Alligator mississippiensis: one gene and its partner. The protein of the gene in region 1 purifies or fractionates together with the protein of each later gene. This does not show direct contact. Links are inferred from orthologs where the notes say so. Each region holds a gene or a part of one and is shown on either strand. Other genes may lie near its edges.

Evidence for each region. The genes of interacting proteins can lie anywhere in the genome.
Region 2: the proteins of CASP9 (region 1) and DCC purify together in Homo sapiens (co-immunoprecipitation; 3 studies listed by BioGRID and IntAct, with this or other methods). This does not show direct contact. The link is inferred for Alligator mississippiensis from reciprocal best matches to the Homo sapiens genes CASP9 and DCC.

What each region holds. Positions count from the first base shown.
Region 1 is NC_081836.1:5,599,436-5,606,568, reverse strand, and holds the start of CASP9 (caspase-9), read right to left. Parts: upstream 3,086-7,133; 5' UTR 3,066-3,085; coding exon 2,934-3,065; intron 2,831-2,933; coding exon 2,617-2,830; intron 1,168-2,616; coding exon 1,078-1,167; intron 389-1,077; coding exon 336-388; intron 1-335. Other genes in the region: DNAJC16 (dnaJ homolog subfamily C member 16), read left to right, coding at 3,241-3,407, 7,044-7,110. UniProt on the Homo sapiens protein: Involved in the activation cascade of caspases responsible for apoptosis execution. Binding of caspase-9 to Apaf-1 leads to activation of the protease which then cleaves and activates effector caspases caspase-3 (CASP3) or caspase-7 (CASP7).
Region 2 is NC_081826.1:287,262,637-287,270,487, forward strand, and holds the start of DCC (netrin receptor DCC), read right to left. Parts: upstream 3,096-7,851; 5' UTR 2,473-3,095; coding exon 2,382-2,472; intron 1-2,381. UniProt on the Homo sapiens protein: Receptor for netrin required for axon guidance. Mediates axon attraction of neuronal growth cones in the developing nervous system upon ligand binding. Its association with UNC5 proteins may trigger signaling for axon repulsion.

The DNA of each region.
Region 1 (7,133 bases):
CAGGCACCTCATTACCTTTGTAGTTTAGGATTTGATTGGGAATACCTCTTAGTGGACCATCGTCACAGTGGATAGAGATGCTAGATGAGCCTTGGGGTCAGCTCCCTCTGCTAACTGTTAAAGGTATTTGAGCACTTCACTACCACTGGATCTATGCTCTTAAATCCCCTTAACAATCTGGACCAAAGCCCTTTGGATTGTCAATGAGCCTTAGGCTTAGAAATGCCTGATTCCCTTTTGAAAATGGGGCATCAGGTGGATGCGACAGGAGCTGGCACTGGACAGCTCAGAGAGGACACAAGCAAGAAAAAGATGCACAGAAAAAGGACACTGACCATATCGGAGTTCTGTCTGAACCTGTCTGCAGCAGCACCTGCAACACACAGACCTGACATTCAGCTCCAAGCAAGCACCTGCAACTCATTAGCAAGAGGCTTGGACTTAGATTCACAGCATTAATACCAACACAAACATTGGCTCACATTTGTTATACTGCATCTTAAAACCAATAATGCCATGGCATGGCATCCATGTGTCTTTCTGATGAGATCCCTTCTGTTAATTACGTCTTTCCCTGTTGGAGCCAACATGAGAAAGCCTTTGTTTTAACCCCCTTTTATTCCTCTCTAGCTGTTTTGAGCTTGTAGGAAGATCCCAAGACAACAGCTCATGATGTGTACCAACACTATGGCCTGAAGAGGAGACATGCAGGTACAAGCTTCGCAGGGAAAAGCAGCAGATTTGCTGTCCCTTCACTGCACACAGGGGGAAAAAAAAAAAATCACTGTTCAGCAGTGATGCCTGAACAGTAAGGTACAGGGAAGCCCAGCACGTATAGAGAAAGCTACAGGGAAAGGGAAGAGTGGAGCAAAAGGTGCATTTTGTATTTCTATAATGTCTTCCAGTTATACAATTCTCACGTGTTCCAGGCAGCATGGCATTCAGGGAGATTAACCCAACATGAAAAATACTGTGAGACTCCCAGAGGGATAGGTGGTCAAGGGCTTCCTCAGAGAAGCAGGGGAAGGACAGAGAAACTGCCAGGACTTAGGTCTTACCTACCAAGAGACTACTTACTGTGAGCCACTGTACCAGGATGGTCCAATTCTTGGTCTCTCTCAGTCCTGGCTTGGACTGGCAGAGGCAAATACTCAGAGTCTCTCCCACCTGAAAAGGCACAGGACATTTGAAGTACCCCTCTTCCTCCAGGTTCCTGTCAGAGGTAGGGTGTGTGAAGCAGACAGCAGGCTGTCTCTGGAGTTGTTTGGAGCACTGCTTGTTGCAGGCAATTGAATATCTTGCCCTACTGCCTGGGTGCTAGGTATCATTTATATCCTTTCACTGTAGGGCTCAGTCCCTGTTGTTAATGATATGGCATGAGATGAAACTAGAACAAGACTGTGCAGTGATCTGGGTGGGAATTGTGAGCCAAGTGTTTTCACTACTGTTCCTTTCTTCCTGGGCTGTGCTTATAGACAGCAACTTCTCCTGTGCGTACCCTAAAGAAATCAAGCATCCTGAAAAGGCTAGTCCATTCAGAAAGATGCCTCTCCACTTCTTTCTTCCCTAAAACTCCATCTGACCCTCCCCTATACCCCCCCCCAGCTGAACCCAGCACCTGTCCTTCCCCTTCTTAACTGCAACATGCATCTTTCTGGCCACCAATTATTCTGCAAATAGCCTTCCAAGGCCACCTCCTTCCTGCAAATGCTCGTCTTTCTCTCACTGACTTCCCCTAAGCCAAATATCTTTGCAACATCTCAACTATTCTGCAAGGCATGATCTATCCATTTAAGACTAAGCAATGCCTTTAAGGGTTTGGTGAAACAACCAGCAACACTTAGAGCACGCTATAAAATAAGGGGCAACAAAGGGAACCTGAAAATGAAAAGTAAGCTGTTAATAGAACCAGCTACCCAACCGACAACACAGATCTCTGACAAAAAAACAGCACTGGTCCTCGAATTACAGATGTTTTGTGCATTTATAGTTCCTTTCCTTCAAGGAAAACTTTAGCTTTGCCTCGTATGTCTTTTGGCTTTGCCTCGTATGTCTAATTCAGATAGATAATCAAAATGTCTAATTCTATCTGGCAAAAGACATACGAGGCAAAGCTAAAACATGCCTTGTATTTTAGCTTTGCCTGGTATGTCTTTTGCCAGATAGATAAGCTTTATCCCCATGTTGCAGCAGAGAAAACTATGAGCTTTATGGCTCTCCAACAGCCACCGGCCTAGGAACGGAACCCAGATCTGAGGTCTAATCCCTTCTTTAAATCAAGGCAAACAGCGTCTTCCTGATGCAGAGAGAAACATATGCCCTCAGACTTCAGATGTGAGGCGCCAGAGAGATTACATGCAATATAACATCAATCAAGAACTTGTATGCAAGAACATCCATCTCAAGTTCCTGGGACGTAGCTGCAGATAAAACTCGTGAGTAACGCCGAACCGCGCTGCCCTTTCCCAAACGCTGCGCGGGCTGACACCCGATTCTGGATGACAGACGGGCTATCGCATCGAACAGGCCACTAGCCGCTCTCCGGTACCGCCACAGCAAGAGGGCTTACGAACGCTGTGTTTTGCTGCTCGTTACGGCGGTCGCATCGACACTTACCTGCACGGCCCCTTCCGCCACGCGGCCCGATTTCAATGGGTTTTATGTCAATTGAGGACGGCCGCGGGAAAGCGCATCCTTCACTCAGGAAATCCGCCAGGTCTTTCTGTCCGGTTTCGCGTAGGATGGAAACAAAGGTAGGAAAAGCTTGCTTCCCGCGGGTCTCGAGGTCTATCAGTAACTGCCTGGCTTGGTCTCTCGGAGAGCCTGCTCTCTGTAAGGCAGGGGACACGATTGATTTGCACCCCGGGCCCAGAAGCCAGCATTTCCAAGCAGCGGGGAGCGGAGCGGAGCGGAGGGAGGGAGGCTGCCGGCACCTGGATGTCGTCGAGCATGTCGCGGGAGAAGACGCCGTCCCGCACCAGCGGCCCCCACAGCGCCTCCAGCTGCAGGCCCCGCACCAGCCGCACGCGACCCCGCTGCAAGCGCTGCCGCTGCTCGGCTTCCATCGCCCGGATGTGACGTCGCCGCGCCGCACATCCGGCCTCCTGCACCCCAGCATGCCCCGCGCGCGGATTCCACACACCCCCCCCCCGAGCGGAAGTGAGCGTGCCGTGTCCATGGTGACGCGAGGGGCGGGGCGGGAAGCCGGAAGCGGCGGCGGGTCTCATCCGGGCCGGGCCCATGGAGCCGAGGGTGCTGCGCGCGGCCGCGGCGGCGGTGCTGGTGCTGGCGCTGGCCCTGCCGGGCCCGTGGGCCGCCGACTTCGACCCGTACCGCGTGCTGGGCCTGGGCCGCGCCGCCGGCGCTGCCGACATCAAGAAGGCCTACAAGCGCCTCGCCCGGGAGTGGTACGTCCCGTCGTCCCCCCCCCCCCCCCCCCGGGATCGGCCCCTCACAGGGGGCTGAGCACCGCTGTCCCGTCATTGCGGTTTGAGGCAAATGATGGAGCTGAGGCTGGTCTTGCTTCCAGAAATATATATATATATATATATCTTTCATCTATTCACCCTATGGTGCAAAAGTAGGGGGCAAGAATATATTATCGTACGGTTTTGTAGAAATGACCATAAACACCCTATTGAAATGGACAGTACCACGCTTCCTGAAGTGCGCTGGATACAAATCGATTAAACAGGGCAGTACAGTAACGCATCACGTAAAATTGTATTTAAACAGAAGGTGAAGGAACGTCTTCGTCAGGGTCACGGCGTTCAGAAGGGCTTTTTGGGGGAGATTTTGGGGAGACTTGGAGCCACTCGACGGCTTTTTGAGAAACTGATCCAGGGATGGTTTTTTTTGCTGCCCCTTTTTTTTTTTCTCATTGAAAGTTTCCCTGTAGTGCCGTAAGTGCGAGGATCCAGCGCCGTGAGTAATGACGTGGGTGTAAATGGCGAAACGCCGCAAGTCGCGGGCTCCCCGATTAGGGTGATTATATGAAAGATGTTTATTCTTGCCACCTACTTCTGCATCACAACAGATTTAGACAGACTACAAAAATGGGTGGATGAGGATAGGATGGGGTTCAGTGTAGACAAATGCAGGGTGCTGCACCTGGGGGGAAGGCATCCACAGCACACAGACAGGCTGGGGAGTTCCCCTCTTGAAAGCACAGAGGCAGAAAGGGATCTCAGAGTCATTATTGACTCCAAGATGAACAATGCCAGACCGCAGCCAGCAAGGCCAGCCAGACCTTGTCACGCATCCAAAGGTGCATCTCGAGCTGGTGCAGAGAGGTGATCCTCCCCCTCTATGTGACTTTGGTCAGGCCGCAGTTGGAGTACTGCGTCCAGTATTGGGCGCCGCACTTCAGGAGGGATGTGGCCAGCCTGGAGAGGGGTCAGAGGAGGCCGCCCGCTTGGTGAGAGGGCAGCAGGACAGGCCCTACGAGGAGAGACGGAGGGACCTGAACCTGTTCAGCCTCAGCAAGAGGAGGCTGAGGGGGGACCTGGTGGCTGCCTACAAGCTCATCAGGGGGGATCGACAACAAATAGGCAGAGCCCTTTTCTCCCCAGCACCACCTGGGTGATGAGGAACAATGGTCATAAGCTGATGGAGAATAGTTTTAGGTTGGAGATCAGAAGGCAATGTTTTACAGTTAGGGTGGCCAAAATCTGGAACCAACTTCCCAGGGAAGTGGTCCTCGCCCCTACCTTGGGCAAACTCAAAAAAGAAGTTAGATGATCACCTGTCTGGGGTCTTGTGAACCCAGCCTTCATTCCTGCTTGTGGCAGGGGGTCAGGCTAGATGATCCATTCAGGTCCCTCCTGACCCTAGCTACTATGAAACTATGAACCCATGGGTTGAGGAAAGTGTGTGTGTGTGTGTGTGTGTGTGTGTGTGTGTGTGTGTGTGTGTGTGTGTGTGTGTGTGTGTGTAAGGGTCACGGGCAGACTTTAAAAAAAGGATTGACAAGCTTTAAAAAAAAATGGATTCTCCTTTAAAGGAGAAAAAAATATGGGAAACTGGGTTTTCCCTTGCAGGCAGGCAGAGCTCCAGCCTGGAAGGGGTGGCTTGGGGCTCCCCCTGTACTATGCACTGGGGGGCTGGGGACACTGGGTCGGAACTGGCCCTCCATGTTTACAAATGGGTCCCGGTACAAAAAAAAAAAAAAAGGTTGAGAACTGTTGCCCTATAGGACAAAGGATTACTTGCAAGAGTAAAAATTAAGAGACATGGTCCTTGGTTTTATAGATGCAAAGTTCCAATTTGGCCTATAACTTAACATTCGTGGACCAAGGAGTAGTTGAGTATTAGATTTTGGAAGGCCTGATACATTTTATGTTGTATAAGATGGGGGGGGGGGGAAATATAATCTATTGGTGAAATCATCCGGAGTATGAACAGATGTATTTTCTTTTGTTATCTTTGGGGCTTTCGTAGGGGTTGTTGCAGGATGGTGATGGTTGTAAGTGAATGTCTCTAATTGCATCTATTTAATGCTCCCTAAACAAAGTAATTAGAGTTCCTGGACTTTGTTTAAAACAGGACACACTTGAACTCTGATCAAGACAGACTTTAGGTAAAGTTTTCTATACACCTAGAAGACAGACTTCTGAATTGAAAGAAAACTCTAAGACTCACAATGTATACTTTTGTTCATCTTGTACCTAGCCGTCTTCTTTTTCCAAGATCTTCATCCTGCAAACAGTGAAAGCATGTTGGTACTCTTAGACATACATGCACAAGTGGACCGATTGGGGTACTAAAGTGTGTGTGTTTTATTTAACTGGAAGGTTTCCAGTGTGTGTTTAAGATTATGACAGCTAAACACTTGGAAATGAAGTAGGGAGTTAGAAATAGGTTTTCAGGAGGATGTGATTTTTTATTTAAGATCTAATGCCTTACATAATAGGATTACATTAACAAGTTTTGACATTGAGTATAGCATTCACTTTTGGTGATAACACTGGTACTTTACTGATGAGAAGGTTACAGCCCCTTCTGATGATCAGTAAGGCCAGTGCTAGACTTAATTTACACAGTCTTAAATACCAAGCCTAAGATCAATCTTTGAAGAGGTTTAAAAGTACTAGATGCAGACGTTGCTAATCCATACACTCATCAAATCAGTATGAGAGCGAGCGAGCTGTGACCTTCATCAAGCTGTGCTTTGGGTAAAAATAAAGCAAAAGCTCTGGCACATGTGTGTCATACAATAAAAATACCAGTATAATCCACACTTAAACTTTAGTTTTAAAAAGCAGTTAGGAGATTGAAGTCAAGTGAGAAGAGACTGGTCTGATACCATCTCTGACTAAAACTGCCTTTGATATATGTGTATATGTGTTTTGAGACTTTACATGTCACCAAACAGACAGACAAGCCAGCATGCGACCTACCTCACACCGGTGCTTTCCATGGGCATTTAGAGCATTGTACTTTTAAAGCAGTGGGGGACAATCTTTTTGGCAGGCATGTCACAAATGAAGGCCAGCATGCTCCCTGCATGCCAATCCAATCCCATTCCCTTACCCAGTCTGCAGCTATGCTCCTTGCTCCCTCCCCTGCCTTCTGTGTACAACTCATGGCATGCATAGTGGAAGCTGGCCCCGTTTCAAAGGAAATTCGTTAGTTTGCACAACATCCTAGTTTGTATCCTTACATGTAAGGGCAGAGCTGATGTACGACATGTGGAAAGTTATCATCGGAACTGCAGCATCTATCATCTGTCCTCAGGGAACCTAGGCAGAAAAGAGGCCATTTAATACTATTGTTTAAAACAACTAACAGGCATTAAAATTCTTTGTGCTTCAGCCAAGTGGGGGGAGGCAGGGGTCAGACTCCTGTCATAAATCTACTTTAAATGTCAGACAGATTAAACAGGGGATACCACTAAATGTCTTTAACATCTACATATACCATTTGGCATGAGTATTACGCCGAGGCAGCCTACTTTTGTGGCATGTTGTGCAACTCCCTGTGATAAGCTGCTATCACTTCCTAGAGGATGACATGCATTTTCTCATTTTCTTTTCGCATTGTAGGCATCCCGACAAAAACAAGGATCCAGGAGCAGAAGATAAGTTTATCCAAATTAGCAAGGCCTATGAGGTATTAAATACTGCTTCTTAACT
Region 2 (7,851 bases), on another chromosome or scaffold:
GCTGCGAATGGGAAGGACTCCATTCTGGCACAAAAGTAGCATATTCCTCTTTATATGTTGACACTGTGCAATACAGCTCTTTATTATTAAAGTTTTAAACAAATTCTTACATCTCCAAACCAGCTTTGGGCTTTAGTGAGGAAGTGTGAAAGGACACAGCCCCATTGTGTTGCATCTCTATAAGCCCTTTGTTACCAGTCAACAAAGTCTTTAAATGCCCTGCTGAATGGGAATTTTGCCAAGCAGCAAACCAGTTACTTGGCCTTATTAAGGGCACCTCCTACTGGTCCTTTCAGAGAGTGAATTATGCTTTCTTTACTATCAATCCCCTGCTAGGTTTCTGAAGGGAGAAAAAAGCTGCTAAGAGGTGGAGTGGAAATTCAGAGATTAATGAGCAGAAGCCAAAGACATTTGAACAGCATTACCTTAAAGGTGCAAGGTCTTTTTTATTTTGTCAGCTGAATCCAGGTTATAAAATGGGACTTAAAATAACCACATCTTTGAGGAGTGACACCTCAGAAAAGATCCAGAGGTTCAACACAAGAAAAACTTTGCAGAATTCTAGCTTGCAAAGCAAAGCACAGGCCAGGGAACTTGCTGCAACGTACAGATTCATGGCTCCAAACGCAGCGTGATGAACAAATACATGCTACAAAAAGGTAGCAACATATGCACAAATAAAATGCCCAGCTAGGAAACAACCTGCTCCTATAATTACTTTTCTGCATAATAGCAGCAGACACCACTCCCCTCTGTACCAGGAAGGCAGCTTGTTTGCAGTGTGGGTTTGGCCCTCCATACAGTATAGGGCTTTCTTCACTCCCGTCCTCACACACACACACTCTCCATCTCACTGTATGTCAGGAAAGAAGCCTGCAAGTCAATCATCTTTCAAGAAGGAGGATCATTGACATGTCTCCCATCTACTAGCCTTTAAGCTGCAAATTCAAGAGAGACACCTATTCATTATCCTGCTCTGATTGCCAGGTCCCACCTTCCATACAAGTAATTGCAGAGGACAATGCTGAGAGAGACATGCACATTGCACACATGCAGTCACACACAAATGAGCCTCCTTGTATTTAATAGAAGCATCTTCCAGTTCACTTGTTAGCCCTCACACACACAAAAAAGACCCCCCCCCCCCAAAAAAAATGAAACATTTTTTTGGAAAAAGGAACCTCATCTACACAAACAATTTAAGGCATTTCCATTAGCATACAGCTGACAACCTGAATGATGCTACAACAGAGTGAAGATCTTTTTGCAAAGGCTTCATCTGCAGCACTTTCCCCATTACAAAAAGCTGCTTTAGTAGTGTCCGTGTGCATGTGTGTGACTGTGTGTGTGTTGGGGGGGGCCGCTTCTATTGTTCATCAGTAGTTGGTGTGATAGCAATTTGTATGCATGTGTGTTTATTTTATTGTTGCAGTTCGTGGCTTCTCTCTTCCTGAGATCCCTCCTAATGAAACACTGCTCATTTTCTTTGGGAGACAAATCCAATGATCACTGGAGAATAATATTTCTTCGCACACATTTCCCCCCGCCTCTCCTCACCATTACCCCCATGCTCTCACACTCCTAGCCACCTACAAATCAACACTGCACTTTTTTAGTTCCTAACACTTCTTGGATAAGGCTGCTGTTTCATTTTTTTTTTAAAGAAATCTCAAATTCCCAGCTCTGCTCCATCTCCTGCATAGATGGCCCCTCAGCATCACTGTATCATTTCCCCCTCTTTCCTTCTCTATTCCAATTCAATACACAATTGGCTTTGCCATTTTTAATTAGAAAATGTGCCTGCCAAGTGCAAGAGAGACAACCCCAAAGAATATCAATCAAAAGGAGTTTGGAGGGGCTTCAGAGAGAACTGCATTTTCTGTCCCCTCAACTAGTATTTCGGTTTTCTTCATTTCCCTTTCCACGCTCCTTCCCCCTCTCAAAATATCCCTTCCCCTCAATCTCAGCCTAAAGATCCCAAAGGCTACTGGCAAATATATCCAATAGCAAGAGGAATTAGGTGCAAAAAAGAATATGAACCATCCCCTCCATACACACACGCACGCACGCACACACACACTACTGCTACGTCCTCCCACATTTCTCCTTTATTTTTATGGGTTTCCTTCCTTTTAGTGGCTCTCCTTTTTTCAAAGGCTACACAAGGTGCTTCTCAGCCCAATTCTCTCTCTCTCTCTTCAAATCTATGTCAAGTACTTGCAAGAGCTTACCCTGACGAACAACAAAAACCAAATCGAGAGTGGAGGGGGTGGAAAAACAAAGTCTGTTAGCACATGAGAAATGGGCACATTCCTTCAGGTTCGACAAAATCCACCCATTATCTGTGTAGTGCAGAAGCAAATAAGGCAGAGATGACTTACCGGTGACTTGAAGATGCAGGCTGATCAGAGAAAACCCGAAGAGTAGAAAAGCCAGCTTTGGTACCCAAACACATCCAAGACTATTCTCCATATTTCAACACACACCTACAGAGATTTGGGTCCTGAGCACCAGCAACAACAAAACACACGCACACACAGCCCCTTCTGCCTCCTTCTCTTCTGTTTTTTTCCTTTTTTCTTTTTTTTCTTTTTCAGTCCCTGCTGACGGGAATCAGCAGAGGGAAAAGGAGGGAGGGGGGGAAGGAAAAAAAAGTTACATTCAGTCCAGCAGCCTCCAAGCCTCCAGAATGTGTCAGGAAACTAACTCAAGGAAAAAAGGGAAGGATGGGGAAGGATCTTCCCACTGTTGGAAAACCATACATAGAAAAATCCTGACAAAAAATAGCTGTCCAGGGTGCATCAGATGACGGGGGGCTGGTCCGTTTCCATCACTGCGTTAAAGTACCAAAAAAAAAAAGAGAGAGAAAAAGTCGGGAGAAAACAAAAGAGCTCGTGATTTTCCTCCTTCTTGACAGATGTTGATGAGGGGGGAAAAAAGAGAGAGGGAGAGAAAAGGATGTAAAGCTCTCACTTGTTACTGGAGCTGTCCACCAGCAGTATGTGAGATGGGAGTTAGAGCTGTAACATCCATTGATCCGAAGAAGTGGAGGGCTGGAAGGGAAAACGTGGAGAGCGGAGAGAAACCAACTGGATCAGGGAAAAAGATTCCACTGGAAGGGGGGAAAAAAGAACTGACTGAGCCCGGCTGCCTTCAGCCGCTATATTTGCTGAGTCTACATATGAATGAGCTGGGATGCCCTCTGTAGGCAAAGCCTGGGAAGTAACTTTTCCTCAATGGAGCTAATTAATACAATGCATTTCCCCACTTTATATTGCTCTTGCTCCTGTCACTGCAAAGCTCCCTAGTTTAGGATTGCAGAGGGCTTGGTTGATTTGTTTCACGTGCTCCTGTGAATTTGACCTGCACTGACAGTTATTTAAATCAGTAATCAGAACATGCTATTTTACACACACACACACGCTGCAAATCTAAAGCATTCAGAAGTCAGGAGCTTGGCATCTAAAAAAAAAGTATAATTTAATTTTATATAAAAGCCTTTTGGTTACTAAGAAACTTGGATCTCTTTTTTATTTATCTTTTGGATCTTGAGATTTTAATATCCACTTTTTTCCACATCTATTTTTTTGCAATCATGAGATGGAAACGTTCCATGTAAAATAAAAGCCAACATTTGCACGAAAAAGCTGTGAGTCTGGAAGGTGACATTATATACAAGACACCAAACTATCACAAGTCTTGTGATAAAAAAAATACAAGCGTGGGCAATGGTAATGTTATGCTCCTAGTATTATTTTATTCTGCAGCACATGCTTTAGCACAGCATGGGTCAAATAACCAGTTGATTTATTCTAGTCCTCAGCCTCTCGTTAATTGTTGCCTTGATCAACTATCCCCCAGAAGAGCTGCACAAATATACTGAGTCATCATCTTTCACAATTTGACTCACAACTTTGTCCTTTTTAAATGGAAAAGAGCTCCAAAGGGTGCTCCACAGCACTTTATAATCTCAGATGCCTGCTGCAGGCATCTCACCGGGCACTGAGATGCCTGCTGCTAGAACTATAAAGAACTATAGACCTATAAAGGATGACATGCATTTACTCAAGAGAGGATGTTATGTAGTTATAGGCTAGGGGAAGAAATTACACATAACCGGTATAAGTGATCGGAAACCAGTCCAAATCTGTAATACAACAGAAGTTCAATGCACATAAACTCCTTTCAAAATGGCCAAAACTTGTTTGAGATAAACCTAGATGGATATAATCTCAAACTTAACTGATTTAGGTTAAATCAGTTTATTGAACTTCTGTCCCATATCCCCTCCAGATTCAAGTTAACTCAAAGTCCCCCAGCATCCCACAATACTTTGGTCCAAACCGTCTGCTCTACTCCAGCAGGAAGCTTTGCTCTAATGCTCCCTGGCTTCTGGCCTGGGCCACTGCAGGCATGTGGCTGCATTTATGGATCAAAAGTATGTGCCTGTTCGCTTTCCTTATCAGTTCAAGCTACACAGCTTAGACTAACTTGAGAAGATTTTGATTGTCTGTATTTAGTCATAAAGTGGAGGCCTTCTGATGAAATGTTAACAAAGGTCTGATCCTCTTTTTTGGTGGCTGTTTATCTAAAAAAGCACTTCTCAAGAACTGTCCTGCATGACATTCCTAGTCCTGGTGTCCTTACTTGGACAAAATTCCCATAGGAGTTTTAAATCCCATACAATAGAATAGAAAAATAAGATACAGACCTTAAATACCTTTCATGTGCAGCAAGGTCAGACCTTCTCAACGTTATTTTGAATTGGTTCTAATTTTCTACCAGCTGTTTATGAGCTCTAGTTGTTTTGCTTTCATAAAGTAAAGCAGTGGTGGTCAATCTCTTTGGGGGGAGTTGTGGCTCAAGCTAAGCCCTTCTCCTGCCCTAAGTGCTGTTCTGATCCCCACCCTCTTGAGGTGTACTTGATAGACTTTGTACCTTCCCATATCAAATGGAAATGGTGGGGTTTGAGTCTGCAACACAGGGAGCAGAACACTGCGGTGAGAGGAGATGTCACCACCAAAAGTCAGTTAACCATCCCCTGGTTCCAAAACCACCATAGTTTTAGCAATGATCCAAAGTCCTTAATTCAGCGGTGGCTGCAAAGCCAGGGGAGGGTTAATCTGGCTCTTGGCAATCACACCCAACACTTCCTCTCATAGCAGTGTCCTGTTCTCCTTCTGCTCCACTTGGTCACAGACTTGAGCCACTCTACCTCTATTCTGGTGCCCCTGTTTATTGAGTGCCCAGGACTCATGTGCCACACGCAGCAGCTGCCTGTACCACTCAAGACATGCATGGCGGGTTCACCATGCCTGTTCTAGAAGCTGCTTCATTACTCATCCTTTTTGGGGAAGATGGAAAGAAAAATGAAGTGGACTGATTCTGATGTAATGCATCCAGTGATCCTTCCTATGAATATTTAATCCAAGTCAAACAGAGGTAGGCTCTGCATGGTGACACCACAGTACAAGCTTTATCCTTAGTCTGAAAAGTGGGAAAGCCAGGAGCTGCAGGGTCTGTGAGTAACTAACAGCCTCAATGAAGACATCAGCTATGTCACAAGGAGATCTATAATACTGAAGTTCTATCTATTGAGCTAGGAGGACATTTGTCTCAGAAGACTTCCCATAGGAGCAACTGAAGACAATTCATTTTATGAATTCAAAAACAATATGGAGTTCACCAAAAAGGGACTTGGAAGAGATGACCCATGAGGTCCCTTCCAAGCCTATGATCCCAAGATGCTCTACTCTATATGATGCTCTACTTTTTTGGTTTTGCTGTTACCTTGCTTATTGGTCCTTCACCATGTGGTCATTTTTCTCCCCTTACCTTCTGACTTTCTTCAAATCTCTTCCATTTGTTTATCTCCTTTCTCTCTGTTTTTATGGAAAGTCCCATCCCAATGCCTTCAGCTATGACCCTTGTGTGGATGACTCCAAAACCTACTACATTGCTTACATTTCCACTCTCATATTTTCTGCTGCCTCTTAAATATTTCCTTGGCTATCCCATTCACCCTACAAAACTAAACACCAAACTGGGGGCCAAATTGTGGTTGTACTTTTGCACACCTTGCCCATGTGATATCCAATACCTGTGCTCAAAAGCAAACATATAATTCACCTAATAGGGAATAAATAATTTTGTGTTAGCAGGATTGAACTGTTCATAACATTGTGTTCTTCTCACAGAAACTAGATAGGGGACTCTGACAAACCAGTGAGGCCATGTGCTGTTTCTTTGCAAAGAAATACAGGAATAGCAGAGGTAAAAGAAGTTACTCCAGCTAAGGATCTGCCACAGTACCTTCAGCATAAGCAGTTTCAAAAGACATGGACTTCAAAAGGGAGGGGGGGAGGGTTACCTAGCACCCTAAGAAGCTGTATAGACAGGTAACATCTCAGAAAAGACACAGACCAACAAATAATATAAACTGAAAGTCTATGGTTTTAGGTAGGAGTCAGGGTTTCAAAAGTGCTCTGGTCCAAGCTGGATCAGATTTGCAAAAACGTTAAGCTGCACACTGGTTGAGTCTTTTTGAAATTCTGGCCCCAATTTTGAGAAACATTTGGAAATCTAGTGCTGAAGTCATGTGTGGCTGCCATTGCTAGATAGATCAGCATGGCTGGAAGAGCTGGACAGGAAATGGATCAGTCTACACATGCCCTGTTCCTTATATTCTTTCCCTAAAGTATCTATTACTTGCCACTGACAATGACAGGATACTTGGCTAGATGGATACATGGCCTGACCAGCATGGCGTGTCTTTCATTCATACAGGTGACACTAACAGAATTCGACATTTCTGTATCTTGCACCCTTGATTCTACATCTGCACAGGACATTGGACTGGATGACATGCAGTCCCTCTCAAACCTATGACTCTACACGCCTCAATCTGCTGTCACGCAAAAGCAACATAAGGCTCAACTTCGATATAGGAACAGAGGTCATTGTTAATGAAAGAGAGATCCTTTAAGCATACGTGAGAACAGTGAGAACAGGACATGGTTTTATTTAGAGCAGGGGAGGGCAATTATTTCGGACAGAGGGTCACTTACTGAGTTTTGGCAAGCCATCAAGGGCCGCATGACAGGCAGTTGGGGGCAGATAAATATTAATTTTCTTATTTTTTTAGGGGCCCCATAGGCTGGATAGAATGGCCTGGTGAGCCGCATCTGGCCCACAGGCCGCATTTTGCCCACCCCTGATTTAGAGGTATGAAACATCTGATTTTAGCCTGCATCTATGAGAGGCCAAAAGTAACATCTCTGTCTTCATCGTTAAATTTCTCTGAAATTTGGAGAAGTTTGGATGTAGATCCCAGTTCAAACCTATGTGAAGGACACTCACTGCTACTCTACTGCAACTTTGACTTTCTAATTCATTAACATTTAAGGCAAGAATCGTTCAATATAATCTATGAACCAGCACATGTATGCAGTCACTGCCTTATAAAAGTAGATCGTGTCCTGCTTTAGGTCAGACTGAGATCTCTATGGTAATGAAAACCTTACCAGTACTTGAGAAACCAGAGGGATCTCTTGCAACTTACTTGCCTGTCACCCACCTAATTCTCCTGGAAGTGGAATCACATACTAAATTTACTCAAATCCAAGATGACTCTGAATTTAAGGCAACCCTTGAATAATTACATTCTATACCTGGGAAAATTATAAATTTGTTAAAATTTTCCATGTATCAAATATAATTCTTGGGAGCAGGTGCTGGGGGAGCCAGTATTGGGGAGGCAGTGGGGGTAATTAAGCAGCCCCTTGCCCACCTGCACCTTGCTTCCTGCCACCCATCCCCCCCCCACTTGTCCCCCTGATGCCTGGCCCCCAT